Anolis sagrei: one gene and its partners. The protein of the gene in region 4 interacts with the protein of the main gene of each other region in a pairwise test. Links are inferred from orthologs where the notes say so. Each region holds a gene or a part of one and is shown on either strand. Other genes may lie near its edges.

The links.
Region 1: the proteins of EDA (region 4) and EMP3 interact in binary tests that used the Homo sapiens proteins (3 or more experiments, as listed by UniProt). The two-hybrid records come from large-scale screens. The link is inferred for Anolis sagrei from reciprocal best matches to the Homo sapiens genes EDA and EMP3.
Region 2: the proteins of EDA (region 4) and CYB561 interact in binary tests that used the Homo sapiens proteins (3 or more experiments, as listed by UniProt). The two-hybrid records come from large-scale screens. The link is inferred for Anolis sagrei from reciprocal best matches to the Homo sapiens genes EDA and CYB561.
Region 3: the proteins of EDA (region 4) and LEPROTL1 interact in binary tests that used the Homo sapiens proteins (3 or more experiments, as listed by UniProt). The two-hybrid records come from large-scale screens. The link is inferred for Anolis sagrei from reciprocal best matches to the Homo sapiens genes EDA and LEPROTL1.

The regions. Positions count from the first base shown.
Region 1 is NC_090026.1:19,343,394-19,351,698, forward strand, and holds the start of EMP3 (epithelial membrane protein 3), read right to left. Parts: upstream 3,513-8,305; 5' UTR 3,443-3,512; coding exon 3,400-3,442; intron 1-3,399. UniProt on the Homo sapiens protein: Probably involved in cell proliferation and cell-cell interactions.
Region 2 is NC_090021.1:345,161,902-345,169,881, forward strand, and holds the start of CYB561 (transmembrane ascorbate-dependent reductase CYB561), read right to left. Parts: upstream 3,677-7,980; 5' UTR 3,511-3,676; intron 1-3,510. UniProt on the Homo sapiens protein: Transmembrane reductase that uses ascorbate as an electron donor in the cytoplasm and transfers electrons across membranes to reduce monodehydro-L-ascorbate radical in the lumen of secretory vesicles.
Region 3 is NC_090022.1:195,308,969-195,317,234, forward strand, and holds the start of LEPROTL1 (leptin receptor overlapping transcript-like 1), read right to left. Parts: upstream 3,595-8,266; 5' UTR 3,503-3,594; coding exon 3,487-3,502; intron 1,197-3,486; coding exon 1,121-1,196; intron 1-1,120. Other genes in the region: SARAF (store-operated calcium entry-associated regulatory factor), read left to right, coding at 7,413-7,491. UniProt on the Homo sapiens protein: Negatively regulates growth hormone (GH) receptor cell surface expression in liver. May play a role in liver resistance to GH during periods of reduced nutrient availability.
Region 4 is NC_090030.1:172,928-180,758, forward strand, and holds the start of EDA (ectodysplasin-A), read right to left. Parts: upstream 3,229-7,831; 5' UTR 3,166-3,228; coding exon 2,836-3,165; intron 1-2,835. UniProt on the Homo sapiens protein: Cytokine which is involved in epithelial-mesenchymal signaling during morphogenesis of ectodermal organs. Functions as a ligand activating the DEATH-domain containing receptors EDAR and EDA2R. May also play a role in cell adhesion.

The DNA of each region.
Region 1 (8,305 bases), on a different chromosome or scaffold from region 4:
GTGTAGATCAGCCATGGCCAAACTTGGGACCTCCAGGTGTTTTGGACTTCAACTCCCACCATTCCTAACAGCCTCAGGCCCTTTCCTTTGCCTCCTCAGCCGCTTCAGCGGCTGAGGGGGGAAAGGAAGGGGCCTGAGGCTGTTAGGAATGGTGGGAGTTGAAGTCCAAAACACCTGGAGGGCCCAAGTTTGGCCATACCTGTTATAGATGTACTCTCACAAGTCTTAGCTTCTAACTTCTCCAACATCGAACTACTTCATCCCATTCCCTTACCCTCCAGGCAAAACCTGTGACACATGTGGTCAAACAACATTAGAACGTAGTCTTGAGTTATTAATTAGGGGGAAAACACAAAAACTAGGGGAGGCTGCAACAATTTGCTTGTGTCTGAATTTACTAGGAAGGGCAAAACTCTCCCCTGTTGAATTAATGCAAGTGCAAACTATTGTTTACACTAATTGAAGTAAACTGAAAAGCAGAAAGGAGTAAAGCAAAACCAAGGACATTTTGGAAGTAGCTAACACGTGGGTTGTCCCCCACATTGGGACAGTAGGAGGGCACACATTCCTCTCCAAGTTAATCCTTTAGCCCGCAATCTACTATTATCACATAAACTACAAACTTCACAGACTTCTTATCTCTGACTCAAGGATGCTGGTAGCCCTGGAAAATAAGGAATTCGCTATCCTTGTTTACTTTCGCATACAAAAAGGGGGAGAGAGGGGGGAAAGGAACAGAGAGAAATCTTTAATTTTAGGATCAGAATAAAATGGAGGAGAATAATTAACAAGATGTGCCAGGATGATTTTAAACTAAAGAACACTTGAGGATATATCAAGGCAGCCTTTTAGGATCTTATAATCTACCACATTGCTGTTTCATTCTTTTCTGCTTCCTTTTCAGTGCTGCAAAATTATGTTTGCATGTGCATGTGTGGACGCACTCTTCCTAAATATGTACACCAGGCATGGGCAAAGTTTCAGAAGCATTCTCTCCTGATGTTTCACCCACATCTATGGCAGGTTGTGAGGTCTTTTGGAAATTAGGCAAGTGGGGTTTATATATCTGTGAATGTGCAGGGTGGGAGAAAGAACTCTTGTCCTGTCATGAAAATGAACAAAATCTGGCTACCAGTATTTTAAAAAACTCTAAAAGTAGGACAGTAAATAAAGAACAAAACTTAGAAAATGGGGGGAATTCCAGACAGGGAACAACAGGGTCAGCTAACACCTTCTACAGTGGTTCTCAACCTGGGGTCCACAGATTTTTTGGCCTTCAATTCCCAGAAATCCTAACAGCTGGCAAACTGGCTGGGATTTCTGGGAGTTGTAGGCCAAAAACATCTGGGGACCCCAGCTTAAGAACTACTTTCCTCTAGGCAGGAAGCAGCCAGACTTTAAAGTTGCAAGGCTAATCAAGGTGGCCAAGAAGACAAGAGTTCTTTCTCCCACCCCGGACATACCATAGATACGTAAACCCCACTTGCCTAGTTTCCCATAGACCTCACAACCTCTTGAGGCGGCCTGCCATAGATGTGGGCAAAACATCAGGAGAGAATACTTCTGGGACATGGCCATACAGCCCAGAAAACTTCACAGCACATTTTAAATTATTTCCTCTAGTTGGGATGCCCATTCCAGATGTACAGTACACTGAAAATGAAAGAGATAGCCCCCTCCAGATGGTTTTGGTCTGTTAACATCCTTTTCATCACTGGCTATGCTGGGAAGGGCCAATGAAAGCAGCAGTCCAACAACATTTGGAGCACCCCCGCTATCTGAACCACAGTATGTCTGATCTTGTTTTTCACAAATAATTCTATTGCACTTACTGTTTAGTATAATATGCTTTTGCAAATGATGCTTTCCAGGTTGAAAAACATTCCTGGTCAGATTGCCCCAAGTTAATTAAATTTTAGGATGATGTTGGCATTTAACAAGCTTGTGTAAATAATACACTACCTTAATGGCACCAGATCTTGTCTGATCTTGGACACTAAACAGAGTCAGCCCTGGTTAATACTTAGACAAGAGACCACCAACCAATACTAAGTGCTGTAGGGTGTATGTCATAGAGTGGAACTGGCAAAAAACCACCTCTGAGTATTCCTTGCCTAAGAAAACCCTGTGAAAGTCATGGGGTTACCATGTCAGCAGGCAACTTGAAGACAGACACAAAATTCACCAGTTAGACCAGCATTTCTGAACCTGATGGTTGGGACCCCGGGGGGGGGGGGTTACAAGGGGGTGTCAGAGGAGTCACCAAAGATCATCAGAAAACACAGTATTTTATGTTGGTTTTGGGGGTTCTGTGTGGGAAGCTTGGCCCAATTCTCTCATTGGTGGGGTTCAGAATGTAATTTGATTGTAGGTGAACTATAAATCCCAGCAACTACAACTCCCAAATGTCAAGCTCTATTTTCCCCAAACTCCACCAGTGTTCACATTTGGACATATTGCATATTCTTGCCAAGTTTGGTCCAGATCCATCATTGTTTGAGTCCACAGTGCTCTCTGGATGTAGGTGAACTACAACTCTAAAACTCAAGGTCACTGCCCACCAAACTCTTCCAGTATTTTGTGTTGGTCATGAGAGTTCTGTGTTCCAAGTTTGGTTCAATTCCATTGCTGGTGGAGTTCAGAATGCTCTTTGATTGTAGGTGAACTATAAATCCTAGCAACTACAACTCCCAAATGACAAAAATAATCTCCCCTGAACACCACCAGTATTCAAATTTGGGTGTATTGGGTATTTGTGCCAAATTAGGTCCAATGAATGAAAAATCCTGCATATCGGACATTTACATTATGATTAATAACAGTAGCGATATTACAATTATGAAGTAGCAATGAAAATGATGTTATGGTTGGGGGTCAACACAACATGAGGAACTGTATTAAGGGGTCGCGGCATTGGGAAAGTTGAGAACCACTGAGGTAGACCAAGCATGGGCAAACTTGGGCCCTCAGCGTATTTTGGACTTCAGCTCCCACAATTCCTAACAGCTGAGGGGGAAAAAGAAAGGGCCTGAGGTTGTCAGAAATTGTGGGAGTTGAAGTCCAAAACACTCCGAGGATCCAAGTTTGCCCATTCCAAGTTTCCCATTCCAACCAACAAGAGATGGTTTAAACAGTGGGAAGAATTTTACTTGATATGTGAGAGATCTGGAGGACAAATGTGAATCTCAAGGATTTTTATCCTACAACCTTATGAAATTAATGGGATCACCATAAGTTAACATACACATATACTATGCTGATAGAGCCAAGTTGGTAATGAAAACACAAGAGACAAAAATTTGAGCTAGATTAAACCAGAGATAATTCGATAAATTCAGTAAAAACACAGAAAATACATGCACAAAATAAAGTTTTGAAAATGTTTACTGAATGACTTACTCAAAGTTAGTGAGGAATCCCATAGAATTAAAAGGCCATGCATGTTTCCTCAGGAAGTCTGCTGGGTTGGATTGCAGCACAATCCTAAACACACTCACTCAGCAGTGGGTGGGCTGGAAACTGATCCAGGAACTTACAAATGGGAAAGGTGGAAATTTACATGTATTTCTAGCCCACCCACCTGCTCCTCCCCATGGCTGTCACCTTCCAATCACCTCCCAAACACTACAGTAGTTCCAGTTTACTGTCTCAATGCTGGATTTCGAGTTTGCTCCTGTCCTGAACAATACTCCACTACTTTTAGAAGTGTGTGTGTGTGTTAAATCATCCTTTCTCAAGGACAAGCCATCCAGGCACTGAAGGCAGACAGCCATTAATCCTTTCAGAGTGGGATTAGTCTATGAGTGCATCTAGACCAGGCATGGGCAAACTTGGGCCCTCCAGGTGTTTTGGACCCCAACTCCCACAATTCCTAACAGCCTCAGGCCCTTTCCTTTTTCCCCTCAGCCGCTTAAGCGCTTAAGCGGCTGAGGGGGGAAAGAAAGGGGCCTGAGGCTGTTAGGAATTGTGGGAGTTGGAGTCCAAAGCACCTGGAGGGCCCAAGTTTGCCCATGCCTGGTCTACACTGGAAAATGACTGTAGCTTGACACCACTTGAACTGCCACCAGCTCAATGCTATGGAATCCTGGGAGTTGTTGTTTGACACAGGATTTAGGTAAAGAGTGCTGGCGCCTTTCCAAACTACAACTCCCAGGATCTCATAGCATTTGCTCATGGCAGCTCAAGTGGCGTCGAACCACATTCATTCTACAGTCTATATGCACCTATGGTGCCGAAATAGGAGTCTGGAGTCTCCCTTAGTGCCCAATTTATAGGGATCTCTCTCTTCCAGCTTCCTCCCCAAATCCTTCAGTACATGACCAGTGTGGCAAAATTCCTTTTTCTGGACTATTTTTCTCAGTCAGCATGGATTTTCCCCAGAATCCATATCAGTTACAGAATTCTGGGAATTGAAATCCGGAAAGGAATTTTCCCACAATCTCCATCCATAATAGACAATAGTTACTTGATTTGCTTAAGCATTGATTACTTAAGCATTGATGGGTTGCTGTGAGTTTTCCAGACTGTATGGTCATGTTCCAGAAGCATTTTCTCTTGATGTTTCTCCCACATCTATGGCTGGTATCCTCAGAGGTTGTGAGGTCTGTTGGCAACTAGGCAAGCATGGTTTATATATCTGTGGAATGTCCAGGGTGGGAGAAAGAACTCTTGTCTTCTCATGAAAATGAACAAAATCTGGCTAAAGGTAAAAGTAAAGGTTTCCCCTGAAATTAAGTCTAGTCACGTCCAACTCTGGGATGTGGTGCTCATCTCCATTTCTAAGCCGAAGAGCTGACGTCATAGACACTCCAAGGTCATGTGGCCAGCATGACTGCATGGAGCATGGTTACCTTCCCACCGGTGCAGTACCTATTGATCTACTCACATTTGCATGTTTTCAAACTGCTAGGTTGGCAAAAGCTGGGCCTAGTAGCGGGAGCTCACCCCATTCCCCAGATTTGAACTGCCAACCTTTTGGTCAGCAAGTTCAGCAGCTCAGTGGTTTAACCCACTCCGCCACCAGTGGGCCCTCAATCTGGCTGCTAGTATTACAAAATTTCTAAAAGTAGAACAGTAGACAGTAGAATTCCAAACAGAAAACAATCAGGGCCAGCTAATACCTCCTAACAAAGGATTCCCCCATGCAGGAAGCAGCCTGGCTTTGAAGCTGCAAGGCTATTCAAGGCTAATCAAGGTGGCCAATTGCAACATTCACACTTGCCTCCAACAGAGAGTTCTTTCTCCCACCCTGAACATTCCCCTCCACAGATGGATAAACCCCACTTACCTAGTTTCCCCATAGACCTCCTCACAACCTCTGAGGATGCCTGTTATAGATGTGGACGAAACATCAGGAGAGAATGCTTCCGGAACATGGCCATACAGCCCGGAAAACTCACAGAAATCCAGTGATTCCGGCCATGAGAGCCTTCGACAATACATTTAAATGATTCCCTCTAGTTGGAATGAATCACTGGGTTGGGCCTCCTATATTCAATGGACCTTCACTTTTGAATCCATGTACATATCACAGCAGCCTTAGCGTACCTTTTAACGAAGTGCAAATTCTTATTAAAATAACACAAAAGATTGTTTTGTTTGGGGGTGGGGAAGGTACTGTAAAAAAAAATCCTCTTAAGACTACGAAAATAAAGCTTTTCTGGGCTTCAGTCCACTTCATCCAACACAGGAGCCGAAGAATGCTTGTGCTGGAAATGTCTTTTCCTTTATCTCAAAATGCTACTGGATTCCTTTACATCTTTTATTATGATTTTCACTTTAAACCTCCTGTTAGGAACACAGTTTCTTTCAAGAGACTTGCTTTTTTATCTAAAGCCTTTTCGTTTCTCCTTTATGCCACGTGTTGCCAGTGGGGGAAGAAAACCCAAAATTTAGCCAGCAACTTCTTTGTTTTTCTTCCTTTTCAATTTGAGCACAGGCTGTTCCAAGAAGTCTGTCTGAATCCTCGTAAACGCCCTAAAATATCTAGATTGAGTTTAATCAACTGAAGAAGCAGAAAAATGAAAGCAAAAGGGAATACAGTACATCTGGTGTGCGTGTGCCTTTAAGTTGCTTGTCAGTTTATGGTGGCTCCATGATTTTAGTGAGGTTTAGTGAAGACAAGGAATACTCAGAGGTGGTTTTGCCATTTCCCACCTTTGAAATATAGCCTACAGAATCAGATACTGGTAGGTGGTCTGCTGTCCAAGTACTAATCTGGGATGAATCTGCTTATCTTCCAAGATCTGGTGCCTTCAGGATATTTACAGAGGGAAGATTAAAAGAGACTCAGCAAGAGAGAAACATATCTCCCTAAAAGGCAGCTTTTCTCAACCTGGGGCTCCGGATCCCTGGGGGCCTGCAAGGGGGTCTCAGAGGGGTCGCCAAAGACCACCAGAAAACACAGTATTTTCTGTTGGTCATGGGGATTCTGTATGGCAGTGGTTCTCAACCTGTAGGTCCCCAGATGTTTTGGCTTTCAACTCCCAGAAATCTTAAGAGCTGGTAAATTGGGTGGGATTTCTGGGAGTTGTAGGCCAAAACACCTGGGGTCCCACAGGTTGAGAACGACTGCTGTATGGGAAGTTTGGTGGGGTTCAGAATGCTCTTTGATTGTAGATGAATTATAAATCCCAGCAACCATAACTCCCAAATGTCAAGGTCTATTTTCCCAAACTCCACCAGTGTTCACATTTGGGCATATTGAGTATTAGTGCCAAGTTTGGTCCAGATCTATCATTGTTTGAGTTCACTGTACTCTCTGGATGTAGGTGAACTACAACTCCAAAACTCAGAGTCAATGCCCACCAAACCCTTCCAATATTATCTGTTGGTCATGGGAGTTCTGTGTGCCAATTCCAACAATTCCATCGTTGGTGGAGTTCCGAATGTTCTTTAATTGTAGGTTAAATATAAATCCCAGCAACTACAACTCCCAAATGACAAAATCTATACCCCCCCCCCCAACCCTCAAATTTGGGCGTATCGGGTATTTGTGCCAAATTTGTTCCAGTGAATGAAAATACATCCTGCATATCAGATATTTACATGACAATTCATAACAGTAGCAAAATTATAGTTATGAAGTAGCAACAAAAATAATTTTATGGTTGGGGGTCACCACAACATGAGGAACTGTATGCAATAAGGGGTTGCGGCATTAGGAAGCTTGAGAAACACTGCCCTATAAGGTCTCTCTCTGTTTCTTCAATGCACTGTTGACATTTAAAGATCATTAAGAGATTCCTGACATTAAGATTTCCATTACGACTGCATCTACAATATTGAATGAATGCAGTTTGACCTCGCTTTAACACCTTCTCACACTTCTGACTAAAAACCACGGATGTGGGAGTGAGGATCTCCTTCCTTTTCTGCAAAACCCCGCCCCAACTTCTGCTTTGAAAACCCTCTGGGGTTGAGGTCACAGTTTGGGCCAAAACCAAGGGAGGGGCACTTTGTAGATTACATTAAGGGTCTTTCCCTAATTCCCTCACATAATCTTTGCCCTGACGAAAAAGGGTGGAAATGAAGGGTGTATCTACACCAGAGGTTCTCAACCTGGGGTTCCCAGATATTTTTGGCCTACAACTCCCAGAAATCCCAGCCAGTTTATCAGCTGTTAGGATTTCTGGGAGTTGAAGGCCAAAAACTTCTGGGGACCCCAGGCTGAGAACCACTGATCTACAATGTAGAATGAATGCAATTTGATCCCACTTGAACTGCCATGACTCAGTGCTATAGAAGCCTTGGAGTCATAGTTTGGTGACGCACCAGTATATTTGGCAAAGTAAGCTAAATAAAACTACAATGCCCCAATCAAACCATGGCAGTTAAAAGTGGTATCAAACTGCATTCATTCTACAGTGTAGATTAGGCATGGGCAAACTTCGGCCCTCCAGGTGTTTTGGACTTTAAATCCAAATACCAGCTGTTAGAAATTGTGGGTGTTGAAGTCCAAAACAGCTGGAGGGCCAAAGTTTGCCCATGCGTGGTGTAGATGCATCCAATGAGGCTGGATCTACACCTGGTTATCCAGTTTGGATTATATGGCAGTGTAGAGTCATCTAATCCAGTTCAAAGCAGATGTGGATTATCTGCTCTGATAACCAGGATAACATTGCAGTGTAGATCCAGCCCGAGAGTCAGTTCCCTTGAGAAAGAAAAAAAAACCCTAGAATGGAACAGAAATGCCTTTGATGCATTATCATAGCTCTAAATCACCAACAAATAATAACCAAGAATGGCCAAGGCTGCATCCGCCCTGTAGAATTAATACAGTTTGGAACCACTTGAACTGCCATGG
Region 2 (7,980 bases), on a different chromosome or scaffold from region 4:
AATTGGCTCCATCATTAAAAGCTGGGGGAAGGTTGGTTCAACAGCAAGAACTCTGTGCAGGAGGGGCCTCATCCGGCAGTGGCACACGTTGCTCCAGCGCTTCCAGGGACATCTCCAGATCCTCAAGCAAGCCCACCGAGTTTGTGTCATCCACAAAAGCAAAGCTTCTGGAGCAGAGAAACGACTCCCAAAGTCAGTCCCTCACAGGATCCTAGAACGCTGGAGCTGGAAGTGACCGGGTGGGCCACCATCCAGCCCCGCCCCATTCTGCCAATGTTGGGTAGATGCAACCTCACACACATTCCTGTTTGTGCCATGCTGTAATGTGGCCTCCTCAAATTCCAAAGTTTATTGCACCTGATTTAAATATGCATGTAAGCTAATGAGTTATCTACACCATCTAAGAAGGTGTTTGTGTCACGTCGCATCTGACCACATGTTTGGAAGGGTATATAAAGGGGGGTGTATCCAGAGGCGGCCCTAGGTAATTTTCAACGGTAAGCAAACAGTATTTTGCCCCCCCCCCAACCAATCATTGATATATATTTTCTGTTTGTCGTGGGAGTTCTGTGTGCCATATTTGGTCCAATTCCATCCTTGGTGGAGTTCAGAATGCTCTTTGATTGTAGGTGAACTATACATCCCAGTAACTACACTTGCCGCACTTGCTCCCTTGCCTGGCCCGCTTTGGGTCCGGAGGCGTGCCTGAAGACCCCGGCGTGTGCACCAAAAGTCACCTCTTCTCCTGACTTTCTCCTCAGCCATTGGGACCGAGAGAGAGAGAGAGAGAGAGGTGGAGATGCCCACCTTTCCTGAAGGTAGGCGCAAAAACAAAGGAGGGAGCGGAGGTGGGAGATACCTCCAGCCGGAGGGGCTCTCTCTCTCTCTCTCTCTCTCTCTCTCTCTCTCTTGGTCTCAATGGCTGAAGAGAAAGTCAGGAGAAGAGGCGACTTTTGGTGCGCACGCTGGGGTCTTCAGACACACCTCTGGACCCGAAGTGAGCCAGGCATGCCGGCTCCGCCCCTTGGCCCACCTGTGGATTGGGGAGAGGAAGCGGGTGGAGCGCCGGGGGATCAGGAAAGGGAGCCGGTCATGGGGAAGGGATCGAACGCGGAGAACAATTGAGCGCCGGCTCTGCTCGTGCACCCGATGGCCGGGTGGACCACTTTCTCACTTTAGGAAATACGCATGCAAAATAACTATTCAGACACAGAGTTAAAGATAAAACAATTTGCTTACTAAGAACATCTTGCATGATGTAAAGTCATACAGTAACAGATCTTTGGGTTACATTCAGAGTTGGGCCTTAAAGATGGGAAGCAGGCCTCTCTCCTCCAAACAGGTACATCCCAAAAGTAGCAAAACAGAGCAAAATAGAGCAAAAAGAGCAAATGGGGGGGGGGGGGGGACAAAGGGATACACCCCCCCTTTATATACCCTTCCAAAGACGCAACGTGACACAAACACCTTCAGAGATGGTGGATAACTCATTAGCTTACATGCATATTTAAATCAGGTGCAATAAACTTTGGAATTTGAGGAGGTCACGTTACAGCATGGCACAAAACAGGAAGGTGTGTGAGGTTGCATCTGCCCAACAACACAGTCATAGAATCCTAGAATCCAAGAGTTGGAAGAGACCTCCTGGGCCATCATCCAGTCCAACCCCCTTCTGCCTAGAAGCAGGAATATTGCATTCAAATCACCCCTGACAGATGGCCATCCAGCCTCTGCTTAAAAGCTTCCAAAGAAGGAGCCTCCACCACACTCCCTCCGGGGCAGAGAGTTCCACTGCTGAACAACTCCCACAGTCATAGAATCCTAGAATCCTAGAGTTGGAAGAGACCTCCTGGGCCATCATCCAGTCCGACCCTCTTCTGCCAACATTGCGTTCAAATCACCCCCAACAGATGGCCATCCAGCCTCTGTTTCAAAGTTCCCTCATGCTCAGAAAGTTCTTCCTCATGCTCAGGTGGAATCTCCTTTCTTGGAATCCTAGAGTCCTGGAGCTGGGAGAGACCTGGTGGGCCATCGTCCAGTCCCCCCCCCCCCATTCTGCCAAGAAGCAGGACAGTCGCCTTCAAATCCCCCTGACAGATGGCACACCTGGGTGGTTTTTCAGATGTTGTCCCCGGCCCCTCCTGCCAGGGCCCCCCCTCCCTGGTCGTGGGGCAAGGGAAGGAGGCCTGCCTGGGGCAGAAGGGAGCCCCCCCCCCCAACAGGCCCCCTCACTTGCCGCAGAAGGAATGCCTGGCACCAGGGAGAGGGAGCCGGCTTCCTTTCTCCTGCCTTGGAGGCTGGGCCTGAATGGAGCCCCGGGTTCCAATCCCAGGAAAGAGGGTTCTGTCTAGACACTCCCAGGAAGGACTCCCTGGCTGTGAGGAGTCAAGGTTTCCGCCTCGGAGTCTGGCAGCGGCGCCTTCCTCGGAGGCCTTGAAACAGGGGCTGGGTGGCCATCTGTCAGGAGGGCTTCAATTGTGCTTTTCCTGGCTGGAAAAGGAAAGAAGGGTCTGGCCTGGCTGGCCTTGAGGGTCCTTCCGAGGCCAGGAATGTAGCCAGGGGGGAGGGGGCTCGGGGGGGGGGGCTTCAGGCACCCCCCCCCCCCCAAATTCTGATGGTGGTCCGCGAGAAGGCCTGACTGGTGCATTATTTAAACTGTTGTGTTTATTCATATCATGATCTGATCACCATGCTCAATATATCCCATATGCATGGAGGGGGTATTATTGGGGTACGGATGCAAAAGGTTGGCTAGGGTAGACCCTCTTTCACTCAGGCTCAGCACCCCCGCCCCCAATCAAACTCACCCCCCCCCCCCGAATCAAAATCCTGGCTACGGTCCTGGCCGGAGGGATGGCCCGGCCTGCCCCACGCCCCCCTCCCACTTTCACTCAGGCTCAGCACCCCCGCCCCCAATCAAACTCACCCCCCCCCCTCGAATCAAAATCCTGGCTACGGTCCTGGCCGGAGGGATGGCCCGGCCTGCCCCACGCCCCCCTCCCACCTCTTCCCTGCCAGGAACATTCGGGGGGGGGGAGGGAGGGGAGAAGCCCCTTCGCAGCCCCTTGTTCTTCCTGCCACGGGGTCCGGGCCATCCGTGTACCCCCCCCCCCCCCCCACACACACACACACCCACTCCCTGCATGGGCGGACAGGCAGCCCCACCCCCCCCCTCTCTCTCTCCCAAACCTGTGTCAGAACAGGTGGCTCCTCTTCCTGGGGGCGCCGTGAGGGGGGGAGGCATGGGTCGGGGGGGTCCCGGAGGAGGAGGAGGAGGGAAGTGGCCAAGGGAGGGGAGCAGCCGGGCTCGGGGCCCCCCGCACCCCTCCAGGCCAGAGAGAAGGGGGGAGGGGGAGGGAAAGAGGGCACGGGGCCCAGCAGGGAGGGAGGGAGGGCCCGTCTTCTTCTCTTCTTCCTCCTCCTCCTCCTCCTCCTCTTGGGGCCCGGGGGGCTGCCTTCGTGCCTTCAGCCCCCCCCCCCCCTCCTTCCCCTTCCCTTCCCTTTCCCTACCTGAGCCCGGCCTCGGAGGAGAGCAGCCCCGAGAAGAAGGAGAAGGAGAAGAAGGGCGGCGGCGGAGGACACGTTGCTCTCCTCCTCCTCCTTCCTCCTCCTCTTCTTCCTCCTCCGCCTCTCCTGCCTTTCCCCTCCCTCGCAGCAGACCAGGAGGAGGAGGAGGAGGCGGGGACGTCTTTGGCACCTGGGACCCCGCCCTGCTGCCCCGCCCCCCCCCCCCCTCGCCCGCCCGCCCGCCTCCCTTGGCTATCAATCAAAGCAGAAGAGCGCCCGGCACCCAATGGAGGTGAGGCGCAGGTAAGGCCAGGGTCCGGCCAATGGGAGGGCGGCTCCGGGGTGGCGGGAGGGGCCCAAGGGGCAGGAGCGGGCGGGGCCCCACCTTATCATAGAATCCTAGAAGAGTGGGAAGAGACCTCCTGGGCCATCATCCAGTCCAACCCCATTCTGCCAAGAAGCAGGAATATTGCAGTCAAATCACCCCTGACAGATGGCCATCCAGCCTCTGCTTAAAAGCCTCCAAAGAAGGAGCCTCCACCACACTCCCTCAGGGGCAGAGAGTTCCACTGCTGAACGGTCTCACGGTCAGGAAGTTCTTCCTCAAGTACAGGTGGAATCTCCTCTCTTGGAGTTTGAAGCCATGGCTCCATTGCGTCCAGGCATGTAGCCAGGGGGGGGGGGGGGGGCTTCAGCCATCCCCCCCCCCCGAAATTCTCATGGTGGTTCGTGAAAAGGCCTGACTGGTGCATTATTTAAACTGTTATGTTTATTCATATCAGGATCTGATCACCATGCTCAATATATCCCACATGCATGGGGGTATAATTGGGGTAATGATACAAAAGGTTTGCTAGGCTAGACCCTCTTTCACTCAGACTCAGCCCCCCCCCCCCGAAACTCAGCCCCCCCCCAAAACTCAGCCCCCCCGAAACCCCTCTTGAAAAAAATTCAGCCCCCCCCCCCCCGAAACCCCTCCTGAAAAAAATTCAGCCCCCCCCCCCCCCCGAAACGAAATCCTGGCTACGGGCCTGATGGGTGCTCACCTACAAAGCCCTGAACGGTTTGGGACCAGTCTACCTGCGTGACCGCATCTCAGTCTAGAAACCCACGCGTTCACTATGCTCATCTGGAGAGGCCCTGCTTGTGATCCCGCCTGCGTCGCAAGCACGCTTGGTGGGGACACGAGACAGGGCCTTTTCCGTGGTGCCCCCCCCTCTCTGGAACACTCTCCCCAAAGATCTGAGACAGGCTCCTACATTGGCAGTCTTCAGAAAGAATTTGAAGACCTGGCTGTTCCGACGTGCCTTCCCAGAATAGGAAATCTCCTATCCCAAGTCCCATGAGCACTTTATTAGAATAAGATTGCCGCACACTGCACACTGCACTTGCTCTATAACCCTTACATATCACCTGTCACATCAGCACTTTTTAATCCTGTACCCTTTACTCTGGCCCGGCCTAGTTCTATCTTGTTTGATGTACTGCTTATTGCCTGTGGTTTCGTTGTTTTAATATTGTTTTAATTTCCTTTTAGTTTTAATTTCCTTTAAGTGTATTGTTGTGTTCTGTATTGAGGCCTTGGCCTTTGTAAGCCGCATCGAGTCCTTCGGGAGATGCTAGCAGGGTACAAATAAAGTATAATAATAATAATAATAATAATAATGATAATAATAATAATAATAATAATAGGGACATGCAGGTTGAGAACCACTGATGTAGACCTTGCATATACCAAAAAAACATACTGGAGATCCAAATACATTGTATTGTCATATCTGTTCTCTGTGGCTGGGAAATCATCTCCCATATATTGGCACTTTTATAGCATAGTTTTATATGGGGGAGGGGGGAACATAAACTATTTCTTACCATGTATTAATATTGTGATGAGAAACTAACTGTGACAGTTCTGAGCTACACTTTTATAGTCAACACTCACAAAAGTCACAGAAAAAGCACTATTTGGGTCAGTTAATGATGATCTATGTGGTCTCTTCCAACTCTGTTATCCTAGGATTCCAATATCACTCTCCTAGTCACTTTTGCCATCAACTTCTGGTCGATAAACATCCCATTTTATCATACAGTCTTTCACTTGCTCATCTTCCAACTGAAATGTAAAAAAATAATAATATGTATTTTCCAATATTACCAATTATCTGTTCACAATATGTGCGTAACCGACCCTTTTGGATTAGTGAGAGAGTGCTTCCTGTTAAACTCTTCTACACCAATTATGTAACTTCCAATAAAGAACACCCGAGGCGCCATCATGCATTCTGCCATACGTAGCTTCACAGAATGCAGTTCAAAGCAGTTCAACGATATCCTATAGTATTGCAGATGGGGCCTGGTGGCAAGGGTTGCCTAAACTGTTGTTGACATGGAGGCAGCCTCAGCTGATCACAAACACTCTGATGCCATGAATGATGATGATGATGATGAGGTCACTATGGGGATGACCTTCAGGTCTGAGCAGAGGTGGCAGCTGGGAGGGAGAGAGGCTGGCCACTTGCCAGGCAGCCAACTCCTGTCCAGTTGTTTCTTTGGATCTGTTACAGATGTGGTTATATGCGGCTTGACTACACTACATAGAAGACCCAGATGTACCTTGAATTCAACACAGAGTTCATCTGCTATGCACATGTATTTTTGGTGAGTATTCTAGGTTTTCCCGGTTGAATGCTATTTTGCCCCATTTAGGCCAAGTCTGGGGATGCTCCTTCTTCCCTATGGCATGGGAGTCTCATTCTGACATTAGCAGACTCGATTGGTGACAGACAGGCAGTCGCGCAGAGCTCCATGGCCCCCAAGAAATGGTGGTGGTGGTGACACAAAGGATGATGATGTCCCACTGTGGCCACATTGGAAATATGAAATTTCCTTTGTGACGTTTCTGATCCGTTCCTGGTTAATTGACCCGCGATTGGGGAAAGAAGGAACCTTTCCCAAAGTTTTTAGTGCTGTATATTTTAGTAAAGTGGAAACATGTGGCATCTTTTACATTAATTGTTATTTAAAAGAACAGAAATACAAACATGCAAGCAAGCAGAATAAAGACTCTACCAAGGAAGAGGAAGAGACAAAAATGTTTTTCTATATGCAAAACTAAATGACAGCCAGGAACAGAACTCTAAGGCGATCATGCTAATCGATGCAACCCACACTGCTCAGAAGAAGTCCCATAGAATGACTCTGTGAGACGGAGCCCCCAGCCAGTGGCGCAAAGGGTGAAACCCTCGTGTCAGCAGCAGGACTGCTCTTTGGGAACCAGACGCCTTGTGCCGTGGACTCAAGCCCTTCCTTCCTTCCTTCCTTCCTTCCTTCCTTTCTTTCTTTCTTTCTTTCTTTCTTTCTTTCTTTCTTTCTTTCTGCAGGAGCACAGCTTGGACTACAAGCCCCACAAGACACACCAAGGGTGAGGCCAAGCTTTCAGGCAAAGCTCCAGGCACATCAACACCCACCCCGCCCCCCATGGGACAAGTATGTCTGGATAAGTGGTACCATGAAGATCTGTCTCATGAAGAAATGCTCACACGTATGGCTGAGAAAGACCCAGGCCTGTTTGGTTGCCAACGATGCAAGAAGGATGCTGCAAGTGGCTTCCAACTGACACCAGAGCTCTTGGGTTGCCCCGTTCCTCCTCCTCAGGTGAGTCCAAGGCAGCACAGGACAAAGTTTGTTCTAGAAGTCTTGGGTAGTCTTTGCATTTCCTTCTCTGGTTCATTAAAGCAGTTTGAACTGGTCTGGCTGGCTTCCCGGCATGGGGTCTCCACTCCTCTTCCCTGCTGGACTTCTGATCTGGGAAGGGAGCCAGGTGGGGGGCAACAGGCATCCTCATATTTTAGATCTGGGCCCAAAATTGGGTCCTTCACCAAGCTGGTGAAGCTGCCTTGTGTCATGGGATGTCCTTCTTCTCATTCTCCTCAGGTGAAAAGCCTCACAAGTGTTGGGATACGGCAGAGATCTCAGCCAGGGTTTCAGCCGGATCAAGCCCAGTCGGAAACATCCTCTGTGCCAAAGACTTGGAGAGAAAGGTGAATTTGCGGAGACAACAGGAGACAACAGCACCAGGAGTGAGAGCCAGGTGGAATCCGAGGAAAGCAAGAGAACCACGACTACGCCAAGGCGGCGTTTGGCCTTCTTCTTCTTCTTCCTGATGGGTTGCCCAATGCCCAATGTTCCTCTCCTCAACCGTCTGGATGTTGGATCCACTTCTGGCTAGATTGGAACTCAACAGGACATCACAGCATTGACCAGTCGTGAACAGAACTGAGCCCAAAACATCTTGAGATGAGAGTAGAAGGCCATGGTTGAAGGAAGACAGGCTGAACCGTCCTCTTTTCTTCTGCTTTTTAATTCTTCCCACCAGTTTGAAATCCCAAAGACTTGAGATGTGTGTTCAGTTGTGGCAAAAGTCTGACTGTTCAATCCCCCCCCCTCCCATCCTTTCCCCTCCCCCCTCCCCCT
Region 3 (8,266 bases), on a different chromosome or scaffold from region 4:
ATCTAGACTGTCATATAATGCAGTTTGAACTGCATTACAATGGTAAGTGTAGACTTATAGAATGCAGATCGGATTCCACTGAACTGGATTATATGAGTCTACACTGCCATATAATGCAGTTAATCTGTATTCTAAAACCGAATTATATGGTAATATAGATGGGGCCTCAGTGCAGAGTTTGGTTATTTAGCCCAGACTGGTTTGACAATGAGACCTAATATGCTAGTTTTAAAAAATAACTAATTGACAGTGGAATCTTCACTTTAACAAGAACACATTTCATAGAATCATTAGTTGGAAAAGTCTTTGTGGGCCATCCAGTCCAACCCCCTGCCAAGAAGCAGGAAAATCACATTCAAAGCACCCCCGACAGATGGCCATCCAGCCTCTGTTTAAAAGCCTCCAAAGGAGGAACCTCCACCGGACTCGAGAGAAGAGAGTTCCACTGCTGAACAGCTCACAGTTAGGAAGTTCTTCCTAATATTCTGGTGGAATCTCCTTTCCTGTTGTTTGAAGCCATTGTTCTGCTTCTCAGTTTCCAGAGCAGCAGAAAACAAGCCTGCTCCCTCCCCTCCCTATTACTTTTCCTCATATATTTATACATGGCTATCGTGTCTTCTCTCAGCGTTTTCTTAAACAACACTTCTTCATAGTATTACAATTAATTTACTAAAGGTAGTGAGATTAAAATGCATGTACATCCAAGTATTTTAATTTAATTGGAATATGAAACTGTTCATAGACTTCAAACAATATTATAAAGCTGACTGAAGCTCTGTTGATGTCACTCAAGTTTTATTGTGTCTCATTTCTCAGATATACAGAGGAATGCAATACTGAGCTACTCCAGCACTACATTATTCTATATAGATTTATAATGAGCAGAGTGCAATTTAGTAGCAATAAAGCAGAACAATTTCAGCAAGTAACTAAGGAGTCTGTGTGTCTCACCAAGAGCAGGCATGGATGGCTTTCCTTTGCCTTCTAGCCTTTTAAGGGTTCCTAGTGTTCTTTTTGATTATTTATTCAAAACAATTAGGTATAGAAAAGAACAAAGAATTACAAATGGAAAGGAAACTAAGTCAACAGCTAACTCATATATAGATGAAAGTATACATACTTATACTGAGGAAGTGCACAGCCAAGCATCAGGAACATTAGTCCAACAGCTCCCCCAAAGGACAGGCTGATCAAAGCTATAAAGAGAAACAAAATCGTATCAGTGTTCCAAAATTTCTGAACATTTTGCTCTGCAGACAAGAACGATACACCGAAAGGAGATGAAAGTACTGCTTCTATTTCTCTCACTAGAACCTTCCAGTTAAACCGCTTTGAAATAAAAATAAGAACACTGAATGCAGTTTGGTGGAAGGAAGTAGATTTTTAAAAGAAAAGTATAAACCCCCGTCCACAAGCATCACCTTTAGATAAGCTCATAAATAAGTAACTTCAGGACAGCTATTATTTAATACACTTCTATAGCCCTTTACATATTTAAAAATATTTTGAAATATTTACGGATGGATTTCGACAATGTCAATGAGATGGAACTGGTTTTAAAGGAATTGGTTTTAATGTCTTTTATCGTGTATTGTTGTTTAATCTTTGTGTTTTTGATTTTTATGTATTTTGACTTAGTATTACATCATGACTGAACAACATCAAATTATTGCCGAGTGTTAGCTGCTCTGAGTCCCTCAATGAGGAATAGAGGGCGAGATATAAAACAAAATAAAAATTAAGTGAATAAAGCAATATTTAAAATGTAAATACATAATTGCTGTCAATTACCTATTCAGCGATTGTGCTACTATATACCCAATACACACACACACACTAGCCATTCCCTGCCACGTGTTGCTGTGGCTCAGTCTGTGTATATGTGTTTTGTGTGTGTATATATGCGTATGTGTGTGTGTATATTTGTGTATATGTGTATATATGTGTGTATGTGTATATATGTGTGTTTGTGTATATATGTGATTTTGCACATGTGCTGCAGCATCTTTTTGCATTTTTTTTAGTTTATAAAGTCCCTTCTGCTGTGTTTTCAAGTGTTTTTATGAGTGACGGTCACTCATTGGCCTGACAGGTGTCTTGTGTCCAAATTTGGTGTCAATTCGCTCAGTGTTTTTTGAGTTATGTTAATCCCACAAATGAACATTACATTTTTATTTATGTAGATGGTAAAGGTTTCCCCTTGACATTAAGTGTAGTTGTGCCTGTTATGAGTGAAAGCAAAGTGTGTAAGTGGGTACGACAATTCAAAGATTTTTATTATTGTTATTGTGAAGTGCCTGTTCTCACGATTCCTCGCTTCAATTGAAGCCACCAAATCGTCTGTAATCAAAGAAGGGCGACCGGAGCGGTCCTCATCATGGACGTTGTCACTGCCATCTTTGAATTGTTGTACCCACTTATGCACTTTGCTTTCACTCATAACAGTATCACCGTACACTTCACAAATCTGTCGATGAATTTCTGCAGCAGGCAGGTTCCTTGCTGACAAAAATCATATCACTGAGCGAACCTCACATGAGGAGGGTGAGTTGATAGTCTGAAACATTTTTAAAGCACAGAACAGAACCGTACAGGTTAGCTACAGAGCGGAAACTGAACACAGTTGTTCCCGAGGCATGCTGGTACACGACGCACGCGCTCGTTGCGGTATGCGCGCGAACTACTAGTGTCTACAACAAAACGGACCTTACTTAAAAAATACCCCTCGTATTACATGTAATATAAAATATATAATTATAACATATTTTTATTATTAGCATTATACTGAATTACATTATAATAGTATAAATATTAAATGTATATACAATATATTACATTACATTATATATATGGGATCCTTTTGCAGTGGTGGGGCTAGTACTTGGACTGATGCCTATCCTGCCAAATTTCCATGACTGAAAGAAGTCGTTATATCAAAAATGTACACATTTAAAGCAGCTTTCCTATCACATGGCGGGGGGGGGGGGGAGGTATTGGTTTCCCACATCACATTGACAGGAGTGCCCCTCAACAGAGATGTAATGCAAGCATCCTCCAACTGTGGCCCTCCAGCTATTTGGGCCTCCAACTTCCAGAAGCCCCAGACAGCTTGTTCAATGGCCAGGAATTCTGGGAGTTGAAGGCCCAAACAGCTGGAGGGCCGCAGCTGGAGGCCTGATAGGATGTCTCTGCACAGGAAGGCTCAGTTCGAACCGCAGAAACTGTTTAAATCCAATGGGCCTAGACACTGCCCACTTCACATGGCCCCAACTGAAGGGAGGACAAGGCCTTCCTGGCTAAGCAGTCCCTCCTCCCGCCCGAGAAGGCCTCCGTTGCCATGGAAACAAAGCGGGGCCCCAAACGTTGTAAGGGGCGTCATCGCCCGGGGGCCCCAGCGCCCTCCCTCATTCCCCGGGAGCCCCCTTCCGCCTTGCCCGGCTAGCTCCCTCCCCTTCCTTCCCCTCAATGCCGCCACCGCGAAGCTACCTTTGATGCCGGCCATGATGCTGCTATTATTGTCGCACAGGCCGCTCCCAACTTTACCACCAAGTGGGAGAAAGGAGGCTAGACCGACCCGGAAGTAGGAGCTCTAAAGCCGTAACACTGTTTACTAAGAGCAGAGAGGCATGCGCAGGACACAACTTCCGCTTCATGTAGAGTTTATCTGTGGCTTCCAGTTAAGGCTGAGAAAAAGTGGGTTGCCTGAGGCTTTCAAGGTCTTTTCAAGCTCATGGTGCCCTTTAGGTGAACCTATCAGTGAGGTTTTCTTGGCAAGATTGTTTTCAGCGTGGTTTTGCCTCCCTTTGAGGTTGAGAGAGTGTGACTTGCCTCACGATCAAGGGTCTGGAGAACAAGCCCTATGAGGAGTGACTTAAAGAGGTGGGTATGTTTAGCCTGAAGAAGAGAAGGCTGACATGATGAGGTCCATGTATAAATATGTGAGAGGAAGTCATAGGGAGGAGGGAGCGAACTTGTTTTAGTCTGCCCTGATGACTAGGACGCAATGGAACAATGGCTTCAAACTTCAAGAAAGGAGATTCCATCTGAACATTAGGAAGAACTTCCTGACTGTAGGAGCTGTTCAGCAGTGGAACTCTCTGCCCCGGGGTGTGGTGGAAGCTCCTTCTTTGGGTGCTGTTAAACAGAGGCTGGATAGCCATCTGTAGGGGGTGCTTTGAATGTGATTTTCCTGCTTCTTGGCAGAATGGGGTTGGACTGGATAGCCCATGAGGTCGCTTCCAACTCTATGATTCTATGATCACTCAGACTGCATATGATTCAGCTGAAAGCAGGTAATCTGGATTCAGGAACTGGATTATATGGCAGTGTTGATGGGGCCTTAATGGGTTTCCACAGCTAAGTAGGGATGTGAACTTTGATCTTTCAAACCCTGTCTACACTGCCACATTATCGAGATTCCGAATCCAGATTATCTGCTTTGAACTGGATTGTATGACAGTGTAGATGGGTCCTTTATGGGTTTCCTTCACTAAGTGGGAATGGAAACCTGTATGTTTCAGGTCCTAACTACACTGCCTCATTACCCAATTTCTGAATCCAGATTATCGGCTTTGAACTGGATTATATTACAGTGTATATAATGGGGCCTTAATGGGTTTCCATGGCTAAGTGGGGATATGAACCTTGATTTTTCAGGCCCCGTCTACACTGCTGCATTATTCAGTTTCTGAATCCAGATTACCTGCTTTGAACTGGATTATATGACAGGGTAGACTCATGTAATCTAGCTCAAAGTACATAATCTGGATTCGGAAACTGGATTCTATGGCACTGTTGTAGATCTAGCCTTAGGGTCCTTCCTCAGGGTTACTGACATTAGTTGAGTAGACCATCTGTAAAGTACTGTGATTTTAAGTGACATGGGACAAACTACAGAATACCAGAGCTAGGTAGTTCCTGGAAATAAACATTTTAATTTTTTACCTTAAGCTTTCCATAAGAAATAATCTAGCCAGGAAATAAATTAGCCAGGAAAAATAATGTTAATGGTCTATGGTGAATACCAGGTGCAGTGGGCAATATTTCAGAGGAAGGAAATGGAAAAGACACCCTCTGAGTGTCTAAGAAAACTCTACAAAATGCTCAGGGTTGCCATAAATCAATAGGTGTCTTGAAGTGGGTACACATATATGGATGGTCACCACTAATCCACTCGGAAACAAAAGGCAGTGGGGGTTAAATTCTAAATTGGCCTGTGTTCTTTCCTTTGAATATCAGCTTCTATGACATTATCATCCTTTCTTAACTCAACTGTTGGCTCCTGGTAGCAGATGGCAATATTATAGGATGTCTTCACTATTGTGGGTCTTATATAATAATAATAAAAAACTTTATTTATATACCGCTCTATCTCCCCTAGGGGACTCAGAGCGGTTTCCACAAAACAGACATAAAACATACAGAATAAAATCTATACTGCCACGTAATCCAGTTTCTGAATCCAGATTATCTGCTTTGAACTTGATTACATAAGTCTACAATGTTGTATCCCACTGTGTTAATTTGCCTTTATTGTTTTTAGGTTATTGTTTTTATTGTGGTATATTATTTTAATTTTTACTTTAATTTAATTCAAGCTATTATCTTGCTGTATGTATTTCATTTGTTTATTGTATTTGTTGGGCTTGGCCTCACGTTAGCCGCCCCGAGTTCCTGAGGGGAGATGGTGGCGGGGTATAAAGAAAGTTTAATAATAATAATAATAATAATAATAATAATGACATATTATTTTACTGATGCAAAACCACAGTATGTCACAGTAAACGAGATCTCTATCCTGGATTCCGTATCACAAAATCACAAGCCGAACACTTCCCAAGCGGCTAGGACTGTGTGATATATTTTTGAATGATGCATGCAGATCCAAGTAAAGTGGCCTTTTGCAGTTGACAGATAGTGATTTTATCAGTGTTGATTGTTTCCAAATGCCGGCTGAGATCTTTTGGCGCCGATGACCACTGGGACCACCGGTACTGGCTTATGCCAGAGCCTTTGCAGTTCGATTTTGAGGTCTTGATAACGTTTTGAGTTTTTCCTGTTGTTTTTTCTCAATGCGACTGTCACCCGGTATGGTGACATCAATAATCCAGACTTTTTTCTTTTCCACAGTCGTGATGTCTGCTGTATTATGATCCAAAACCTTGTCAGTCTGGATTTGAAAGTCCCACAGTATTTTTGCGTGTTTGTTTTCCACTACCTTTGCGGGTTTATGATCCCACCAATTCGTTACTGCTGGTAGGTGGTACTTGTGACATAAGTTCCAGTGAATCATCTGGGCCACAGAGTTGTGCCTCTGTTTGTAGTCAGTCTGTTTGATTTTCTTGCAACAGCTGAGGATATGATCAATGGTTTCATCCGCATTTTGATGACATATAATTCAGTTGGGGAAAAAAAATCTGGATTCAGAAACTGGGTTAAATGGAACTGCAGACAGGAACCCAGTGTCCTAACCCAATACTTGAAGCAATACACCACAATGGTTGGAGCCCCTGGTGGCCCAGTGGGTTAAACCCCTGTGCCGGCAGGACTGAAGGCCGACAGGTCGCAGGTTAGAATCCAGGGAGGCGAATGAGCTCCCTCTACCAGCTCCAGCTCCTCAAGCGGGGACATGAGAGAAGCCTCCCACAAGGATGATAAAACATCAGAACATCCGGGCGTCCCCTAGGCAACGTCCTTGCAGACGGCCAATTCTCTCACACCAGAAGTGACTTGCAGTTTCTCAAGTCTCCTGACACGACAAAAAAACCCCACAATGGCTCTCTAGGCAGTAATATACTGCATCATACATATATTGCAAAACTATTGCATAGATATAATAATATGTTTCATCATACAGCTGAATACAAATGCACTGTGACTCGCTCCACAAGGTCCAACAAAAACTCGGGATATTTCTGACGTCCACAGGAGTTTGCTTAGTAACAGTGAATCACCATATGGTCCCTATTACACTCAGCGCAATCCTATTGGCTGTAGGTCACAGGCGGAGCCAATGACAGGCAAGGACACAACAAACCAATAGAAATGTTGGGACAGAAAAATCTCTCACATTCCCATTGTCTTAGACCACTAAGTGATGCTAAGCGTCTAGGCGTTTAGGACTTCAACTCCCAGAAACCTCAGCTACGTGAGCCAAAGACCAGGGATTCTGGGAACTGAAGTCCAAAATACCTAGACGAAAAGAACGCCTCTTCTCATTGGCTGGGCTTGCGCGGAAGGCGGGCGTCAAAACCAAACACAACGACATAGCCAGCGCTAAGATGGCGGCGCCCGGCCCCTTCGGGAGGTGGGACTAGAACTGCGGGCGGCCAATCAGAGGCCTCGCGAGCCGGAGCGGATGCGCCACAGGGCCAAGGCTGAGCCGAGCTCCACTCGCTGGTGAAGGAGCAGAGATGAGGTCGCGGGGGCTGGCGCTGCCGCTGTTGGTGGTGCTGACGGGAGCCGGCCTGGTTCGGGCCTGGGCGCAGCCGGGTAAGGGAAGCGCTCCGGTGGTCGAGGAGCTCCTTCTCTCTGCCGCTGGGCTGTGGGAGCCCGGTTGCCAAGGCGCGGCTGAGCAGCGGAGGCCTGGCTCCCTCAGCCACTCTCTCAGCCTAGGAGGAAGTCAGCAAAGGCAGGCTTCCCCCTCAGGCGGAAGCGACGCGAAGGCACACAACGGCAACAGCGCTTTTATTATATTTGCTGATTTTAATTGTGTTTAAATGTTTTTAATGCCCCTTCCACGCAGCTGAATAAAATCCCACATCTGCTTTGAACTGGGATATATGGCCGTGTGGACTCGGAACCCTTCCACACAGCCCTATATCCCAGAATATCAAGGCAGGAAATCCCACATTATCTGAGTGTGGACTCGGACAACCCAGTTCAAAGCAGATATTGTGGGATTTTCTGCCTTGATATTCTGGGATATAGGGCTGTGTGGAAGGGCCCTCAGACTGCCACGCCATGCTGGAAGGCATAGGCATTAATAATTATAGGCAAGACTTAACTAGCGGCAACAAAAATATGTGCAGGTATGCCTTATATCACACTGGCAACAAAGATCCACATAGTCAAAGCCATGGTATTCCCTGTAGTAACCTACGGATGTGAGAGCTGGACCTTAGGGAAGGCTGAGCGAAGGAAGATAGATGCTTTTGAGCTGTGGTGTTGGAGGAAAGTTCTGAGAGTGCCTTGGACTGCGAGAAGATCCAACCAGTCCATCCTCCAGGAAATAAAGCCCGACTGCTCACTGGAGGGAAAGACACTA
Region 4 (7,831 bases):
AGCCAAAGCAGTTCTTATTTTGGTGGACATAAACACGAGTGCTCTGCAAGAGGATTGAAGGAAACAGAACGGACACCCCAAGTGGCCAATCCCCCCCAGCCGGTTGCAGAACAGGCCCACCTCCTGCACGTGAGCCCAGAAATCCCAAAGGGAAAGTAAACAGAGCCACCGTGGAATGGGAGTGTGTTCCCAAACTCAAACGCATGGGCAGAGGCATGGCCAAGGACGAGGCCACCATCATTCTGTGTGCTTGACCAGGCCTGAAGGGGGGCTTGGGCCCCAGGGAACTGACCCAACGGCCCATGAAGGAAGGCCTGAAGGGCAGCCATCTCCTTGCACAGCCCTTTGGAAAAGTCCTCCTGGTCAGTCGTAAGGCCGAACAGGGCATAGGGTTACAGCCTGTGCTGGACGGGGTTCCACTCCCCCTGAAAACGCAGGTTCGCAGCTTGGGAGTGATCCTGGACTCATCACTGAGCCTGGAAACCCAGGTCTCAGCGGTGGCCGGGAGAGCTTTTGCGCAATTAAAACTTGTGCACCAGTTGCGCCCGTACCTTGGGAAGTCTGATCTGGCCACGGTGGTCCACGCTCTTGTTACATCCTGAATAGACTACTGCAATGCGCTCTACGTGGGGTTGCCCTTGAAGATTGTTCAGAAACTTCAACTAGTCCAGCGAGCGGCAGCCAGATTGCTCACTGGAGCGACATACAGGGAGCATACCACCCCTCTGCTGTGCCAGCTCCACTGGCTGCCGATTCAGTTCCGAGCACAATTCAAGGTGCTGGTTTTGACCTACAAAACCCTGTACGGTTCTGGTCCAGTGTATCTGTCCGAACATATCTCCCTCTACGTCCCACCCTGGAGTCTGCGATCATCTGGGGAGGTCCTGCTCTCGACCCCACCACTGTCACAAGTGAGGCTGGTGGGGACGAGGAGCAGGGCTTTCTCAGTGGTAGCCCCTCACCTGTGGAACTCACTCCCAGGGGAAATCAGGGCATCATCATCCCTCCTCGCCTTCAGGAGAAGGGTGAAGACGTGGTTATGGGACCAGGCCTTTGGGCACTCCGGCAATTAAATCAGACAACCAGGCGAGTAAGACCAGCAGGATTGATGAAGTGGAACGGAAAACTAGATCTATGAGTAGCAAACGCTGACCATGTAAGAGGACAAACTGGGTTTGTATTTGGTTTTATTGATTTTATGGTTATAATGTATATTTGGTGTTAACTGTGTATTGATGTAATTTTGTGTTTGATTGTTTTTATGATGCAGGCATCAAATTGTGCCTTGCTTTTGTAAGCCGCCCTGAGTCCCCTTCGGGGTGAGAAGGGCGGGGTAAAAGAACCCCAAATAAATAAATAAAAAATAGGGCCGGGCCCACGGGACACATCCCTCCGGCCCCTACGGCACCCACGGCGCATGCCCTCCGAGGTGCTTTTATGGAATGCATGTAAACTGCGCTGTGCCCAGCCTCGGGCCAAAAAGAGAGAGGCCGGTAAGGAATGACAATAATAACAATAATGAAAATAATAATAACAGTACATGTCATTGGGGACCTTGAGACAAAAAGAGAGGTGGGTAAGGAATAACAATGATAATAATAATAGTATTAATAATGCATGTTGTGCCCTGCTTCGAGCCAAAAGGAGGGGTGGGAAATAAATAAATAAATAAAGAATGAATGAATGAATAAATAATATATAAATAATAAACCCTCAATACCATATTTACTGGAATCTTCTGCCATGGCACAGGATGAATCATATGAATGAATAACAAATATAATAGTAATAATAATAAAAACAATGGCGACTAAGGAAGGAGCTTCCACCATTATTACTATTATTATTATTATTATTATTACTACTGTTATACTGTATTTTTATGGATTAATATGCTCCATTCTATGTCATGGCAGATCCCCCCTCCCATCATCATCATCATGTTTCTTTATATAGCTAATTATTATATATTAATATAATTCATTGAATCCTAGAGTTGGAAGAGACCTGGTGGGCCATCCTCCAGTCCAACCTCCTTCTGCCAAGAAGCAGGAATATTGCATTCAAAGCACCCCTGACAGATGGCCATCCAGCCTCTGCTTAAAAGCTTCCAAAGAAGGAAAGAGCCTCCACCACACTCCACGGCAGAGAGTTCCACTGCTGAACGGCTCTCCCAGTCAGGAAGTTCTTCCTCAGGTTCAGGTGGAATCTCCTCTCTTGTAGTTTGGAGCCTTTGCTCCATTGCGTCCTAGTCTCCAAGGAAAGGAAGCAGAAAGGAAGCTTGCTCCCTCCTCCTCCCTAGGACGTATTCCCCTCACATAGTTATACCTGGCCGTGATATCTCATGGCAGCTCCCCCTCCCATTATTATTATTACATATTAATATGAATTATGATTGTTATTCTTATTATATATTAATATGATCCATCATGTCATGGCAGCTCCCCCCTCCCATTATTATTATTATTGTTATTGTATATTAAGATGAATATGATTTATCATATGTCATCGTAGTCCCCCTCCCCATCATCATCACCATTATTATTATATATTAATATGATTCATCATATGTTATGGTAGCTCCCCTTCCCATCATTATTATTATTATTATTATTATTATTATATATTAATAAGATTCATTAGATGTCATGGTAGATCCCCCTCCCATTATTATTATTATTATTATTATTATTATTATTATTATTCTATGCTAATCCTATTCATGATATCCCATGGCAGCTCCCCCTTCTTCTTCTTCTATGTTAACACAGACAGGATGCCCCTTAGTAACAGGTGCAAGCCCAGATGGGTCACGTCCCCCCCCGCCCCCCTTACCTGCCGCTGGTGGTGGTGGGCGGGGGGCGTGCCTTGCGGGGGGCGTGGCGGCCCTGCCTGGGCCCCGCCCCCGGCCCCTCCTGCTGCTGCTGTTGCTGGTGTGGGGAGCTGGGCGTGGTGCTGGTGGTGCTGGTGTTGCGTGTGTGCGCCCCCTGGGGGGGTGTCCCGGCGGCGCAGGATCTCTGAGCGGAGTTCGAGGTAGCATCCGAGGGTGAGGAGGTGCAGCGAGAGCGAGAGCGCCAGGAACGCCCCCAGCGCCCGCCACACCCACGCCGAGCACGCCAGAGCCGGAGCAGCGGGAGCGGGGGGGAGAGGCGGCTCCGAGCCCATGGCGGCGCTACGACGCCCGCATCCTCCTGCCTGCCTGCCTGCCTGCCTGCCTTCCTTCCTTCCTTCCTGCCCGCCTGCTCGCCCGCCCGCCCGCCTGCCTTCTGGCCTGGAAGCCGCCCGCGCCAGGAGGAAGCCCCAGGGGGCGGAGCCCGGGAGGGGGCGGGGCCAAGCGGAGAGAAGGAGGGAGGGAGCGCCGACTCGCGCTCTCCCCGCTCCAGGCCACGCCCCCCTCGCAGGCAGGCAGGCAGGCAGGCTCCGGAAACAGGGAGACCCTCAGGGGGCGGGGCCAAGGGAGGGAGGGAGGGAGGGCCGCCCCCTTCGCAGGCCCCGCCCCCTTGCCGCTAGGAGAGACCCCTTCAGGGGGCGGGGCCAAGACAGGAGCACGGGCGGAGGGCGGGGCTTCAGCAGGGAGACCCTCAGGGGCGGGGCCAAGGGAGAGAGGGCCGCCCCCTTCTCAGGCCCCGCCCCCTCGCAGCACGGAGAGAGACCCTCAGGGGGCGGCGCCAGGCCAGGAGCGGAGGGCGGGGCTTCAGCCGGGAGACCCCTCAGGGGGCGGGGCCAAGGGAGGGAGGGAGGGAGGGCCGCCCCCTCGCTGGCTTTCCCCGCCCTCGGCTCCGTCTCCTCTCAACGCCCCCCAGGGGGAGGGGCCAAGCCAGGAGGAGGAGGCGGGGCTTCTGGAGGGAAGGCGTGGCTTCGGGAAGGAGCCAGTAGGGAGAGCCCCTCAGGGGGCGGGGCCAAGGGAGAGAGGGCCGCCCCCTTCTCAGGCCCCGCCCCCTCGCAGCACGGAGAGAGCCCCTTAGGGGGCGGGGCCAAGACAAGAGGGCGCGGCTTCGGGAAGGAGCCCGCAGAGAGACCCTTAGGGGGCGGGCCAAGGGGAAACCCGCCCCCTCGCTGGCTCCGCCTCCTCTCAAGGCCCCCCCAGGGGGAGGCGGGGCTTCTCCCTGCTCGCTCGCCCCGCCCCCTTCGCAGCCCAAGAGGGCTGGCTGCCCGGAAGTCCCGCCTTCCTTCCCGGGAGATGTGCGGAAGGCAGTCTCAGGAAGGAGCTGGCCAAGGTGCTGACGGGGGGAGGGGAGGGCGACCCCGTGGGTGAGCCAGGAAGGCAGGGCAGGCATGCCATTGGGAGCCCCCCAGGAGGGAGAGAGAACAGCCATAGAGACCCACACTGGGAGTAAATGAGGAGTATGACAAGGACTATTAATTATTCATCTAATAATAATAATAATAATGGAATAGAGGATATCTCCGATCCCATGGTCTGTTTTCCGAGCTGGGCGGCCTTTGGGGAGGGGGGGCCCTCCGGCGGATTTCCTAATCTCCTGCCCCCCCCGGCCCCCCTCGCCCCCCCCCCGCCTGGAAGCCCTTCCGGCGAGGTCACGAGGCCTGGCCCCGCCCTCTCGAGACAAAAGGGGGCGGAGCCGCTCCTCTAAGGAAGGCGAGGCGAGGGCGCCACCTGGCGGGCGCCGAGGGGAAGGGCAGGCAGGGAGGGGGCCTGCTATGGGAGAGGCATCAACAACATCTCAACATGGGAACTTGTGGGTTGTGGTAGGTTTTTCCGGGCTAGATGGCCACGTTCTGGAGGCAGTTTTTCTCCTGACGTTTCGCCTGCATCTATGGCAAGCACCCTCAGAGGTAGTGAGGTCTGAGGATGCTTGCCACAGATGCAGGCGAAACGTCAGGAGAAAAGTTGCCTCCAGAACATGGCCATCTAGCCCGGAAAAACCTACCACAACCCCTCAGTGATTCCGGCCATGAAAGCCTTTGACAATACATTGGAACTGGTGCCACAAAGATCCGGGTGGGATCGCCAGCCTGCCTAGAGTCACAGGAAACGAACACGTCAGACCACTCTGGGACTTCCGGATTCAGGCTGAGTGAGCACACGACTCCTGACCTCACAACTGTGGGGAAAAACCAAGTGTGCCTGGGTCATGGATTTGCCAATCCCAGGCGATCAACGAGAAGCAACTGGAAAAGCTGACACGATGCGAGGATTGAAAGATCGAGCTGCAAAGCCAATCGTGGGGGTGTCGTCGAGGGCATCCCTGACCCCTGCCTTCAAGCTGATCTGACCAGCCGCAGGGGGTTCCACAGTTCCTGGATGCCCAGTTGGGCTGAAACTGATGAAACTGGTGCCCCCGCAAGAGCAGCCTCAACCGGGGACTCTTTGCCGCCCTGTGCTCTTTCCTCTCACTCCTTTTCCCAGCCCAAACTAGGTAACAAATCCCTCAATAAAGATTAAATGAATTGTAACCCTAACCTCTCCAGAATGATACTTTGTGTCCCTTTCCTGGTTCAAACTGACTTGGACATTAAGATCGTCCAGGGAGGCCCTGCTCTCGGTCCCGCCTGCGTCACAGGCGCGTCTGGTGGGGACGAGGGACAGGGCCTTCTCGGTGGTGGCCCCTCAGCTATGGAATGCCTTACCTGTAGACATCAGACAGGCCCCTTCGTTGTTGGCGTTTCGGAGGAAGGTTAAGACTTGGCTTTATGAGCAAGCGTTTGGCTAAACAGTGCAACTGAACACAGAAAGACGGTAAAATTGAACATAGGAATGGCACAAGGATTATGAGAACGGATCTGATTTCATTGAGGCGTTATGACATGATTTGATAGTTGTTGTTGATTTTGTTTGTTGTATATGATGTGTTTTAATTGCCTATGACATTGTTTGATAACCTGTATTGTGTAAACCGCATTGAGTCGCCTGACTGGGCTGAAAAATGTGGTATAGAAATAAAGCAAATAAATAAATAAATGCATGAAACAACCTTTTCTGGGCTGCGGGAGACCGCAGGCCTGCCTGGGATGCCTTCCTGGCGTCCCAGGGAGGCTGAATCTGCTTTCCTTCAAACCGCGGATACAGAAACCCTTCGGGGCCCCATATCCGCAAGTTGACGGATCGACTCCATTTTGATGCCATATCTTTCCTAGCTAAATTCTAACCCTATCTGCCATCTCGCTTTTTTGCATTTTGGGCCCCTAGGCTCAGGGAATAACCTTTGGTTTATCAAGAATATTTTTTAAAAGGAGAACAGTCAAAATCCAAGCCTCATCATCAGGCTTCAGCCCTTGGAAGGAGCTATAGTTTTCCAAGGACCAAGGACCAGCTTCGACCTCAGCACTGCAGGACTCCATCTTTTGGCTCAGTGGAAGTCACCAGACTCCTTTTTGTGACTTGGACTTTCTGTCATATACTTTTGGACTTCATTTAAAAAAAAAACCTTTTTCACCCATGAATTTTTCCAAAATGAACTATGAACTCAAACTGTGCTGTGATTAAAATTGCTCTGTTTGGGGGGGGGGGGGATGCCTGGATATGATTTTTCATCAAGATTACTAGATTTCTATATTTCCCTTCATGTATCTGACCTTGCCCTGACCCTTTTACCCCCTTTCCCCTTTCCTTGAGGGAAGTTGCCCTGTCTCTGAAAAGCAATTAGCGATCATGAAAGTACCCTTATCTTAGGACATTTCTTGCGTGGACAATAACAAAGGAATATCTTTCTTGACTTCGGAGTAGGGCCATCAAGAGGATTTCCGCTTGGCAGACTTTTTAATCATATAATAATGGGGGAAAGATGACCTTCGTAAAGCCCTTTCCCTCCCAACCCGTTTTTCTTTCAAATCTCTCCACTAAAGACATTCACCAAAGTCTTCCCCTTTGTGCTCTATCTGATCGCAAGCGGAAAAGCCGGATTAAGTGATCAATGCTTATTGCAGACCCATCTCAAGACAATAAAGTTGGTTTTTCTGGCAGGCAGGTTCCAGACTCGTTAAGCCTCCAGGTTATTAAACTCCATAATCCACTCAAGAATGCATTGTATCTCTTTGTCTCGCCTCCCTCCCTTCTGATTCACTGGAGTGTCGAGGTGGGGGAGCCTCCTGATTGGCTCAGGCGCACCGCGGAAGCCCTATGATTGGCCCAGGCGCACAGAGAACGGCCAAGCTGTTAGCGCGCCAGCCAATCACCATCGGGAATTTTGAAACTCACAACTCTGTATTTTCTATAAAAATGGCATTTATTTCTGTAACCACATGCTCTGCTTGACGAATGATCGCGGCTTTGCATCCTTTTCAGCTGAATCACTAATAAACATCTCGGTGGTGCTTCTTCAACCTTGGTGAGATTCTGTTTGGGAACCTAGGGAAATAAAAATTGCTTAAAATCAGGCTTCTCTTTGCTCACCAATGTAGTGATCCCTCTTTGGTGAGGCCACAGGGTCTCTCCTCCTGGGGCAGACCCTCCTGAAGTTCCTATCGACTTCAGGGGTCCCGGAGGTGATGGGCACACTGGGTGCAGTGCCTCAAGACCTTGGCCTGCACTTAAATGTAAGTACGATTACATTTAAGATAATGTAAGATTCTCCCTGACCACATTTTGCACAAAATGTCCTTAGAAGCACTTTATTTTTGGTTTGTGCAATGAAATCCTTCCTCATTCCCGGAGCCTCCTCCATATAATTTACAATGTCCTATCTCCCAATGTTTTTTTAAAAAAATTAAAAATTGTATCCGTGAATCTGGCCCTGCCTTGTGAAATTTTCCTTAATTCTTGATTTTATATTGTTTGCGTCATATATTGTTTTGATTTTGCATTTTATGTATTTTGCTTGGTTCTATGTTTTTATGTTATTTTGACCTCATGTAAGCCGCACTGAGTCCCCTT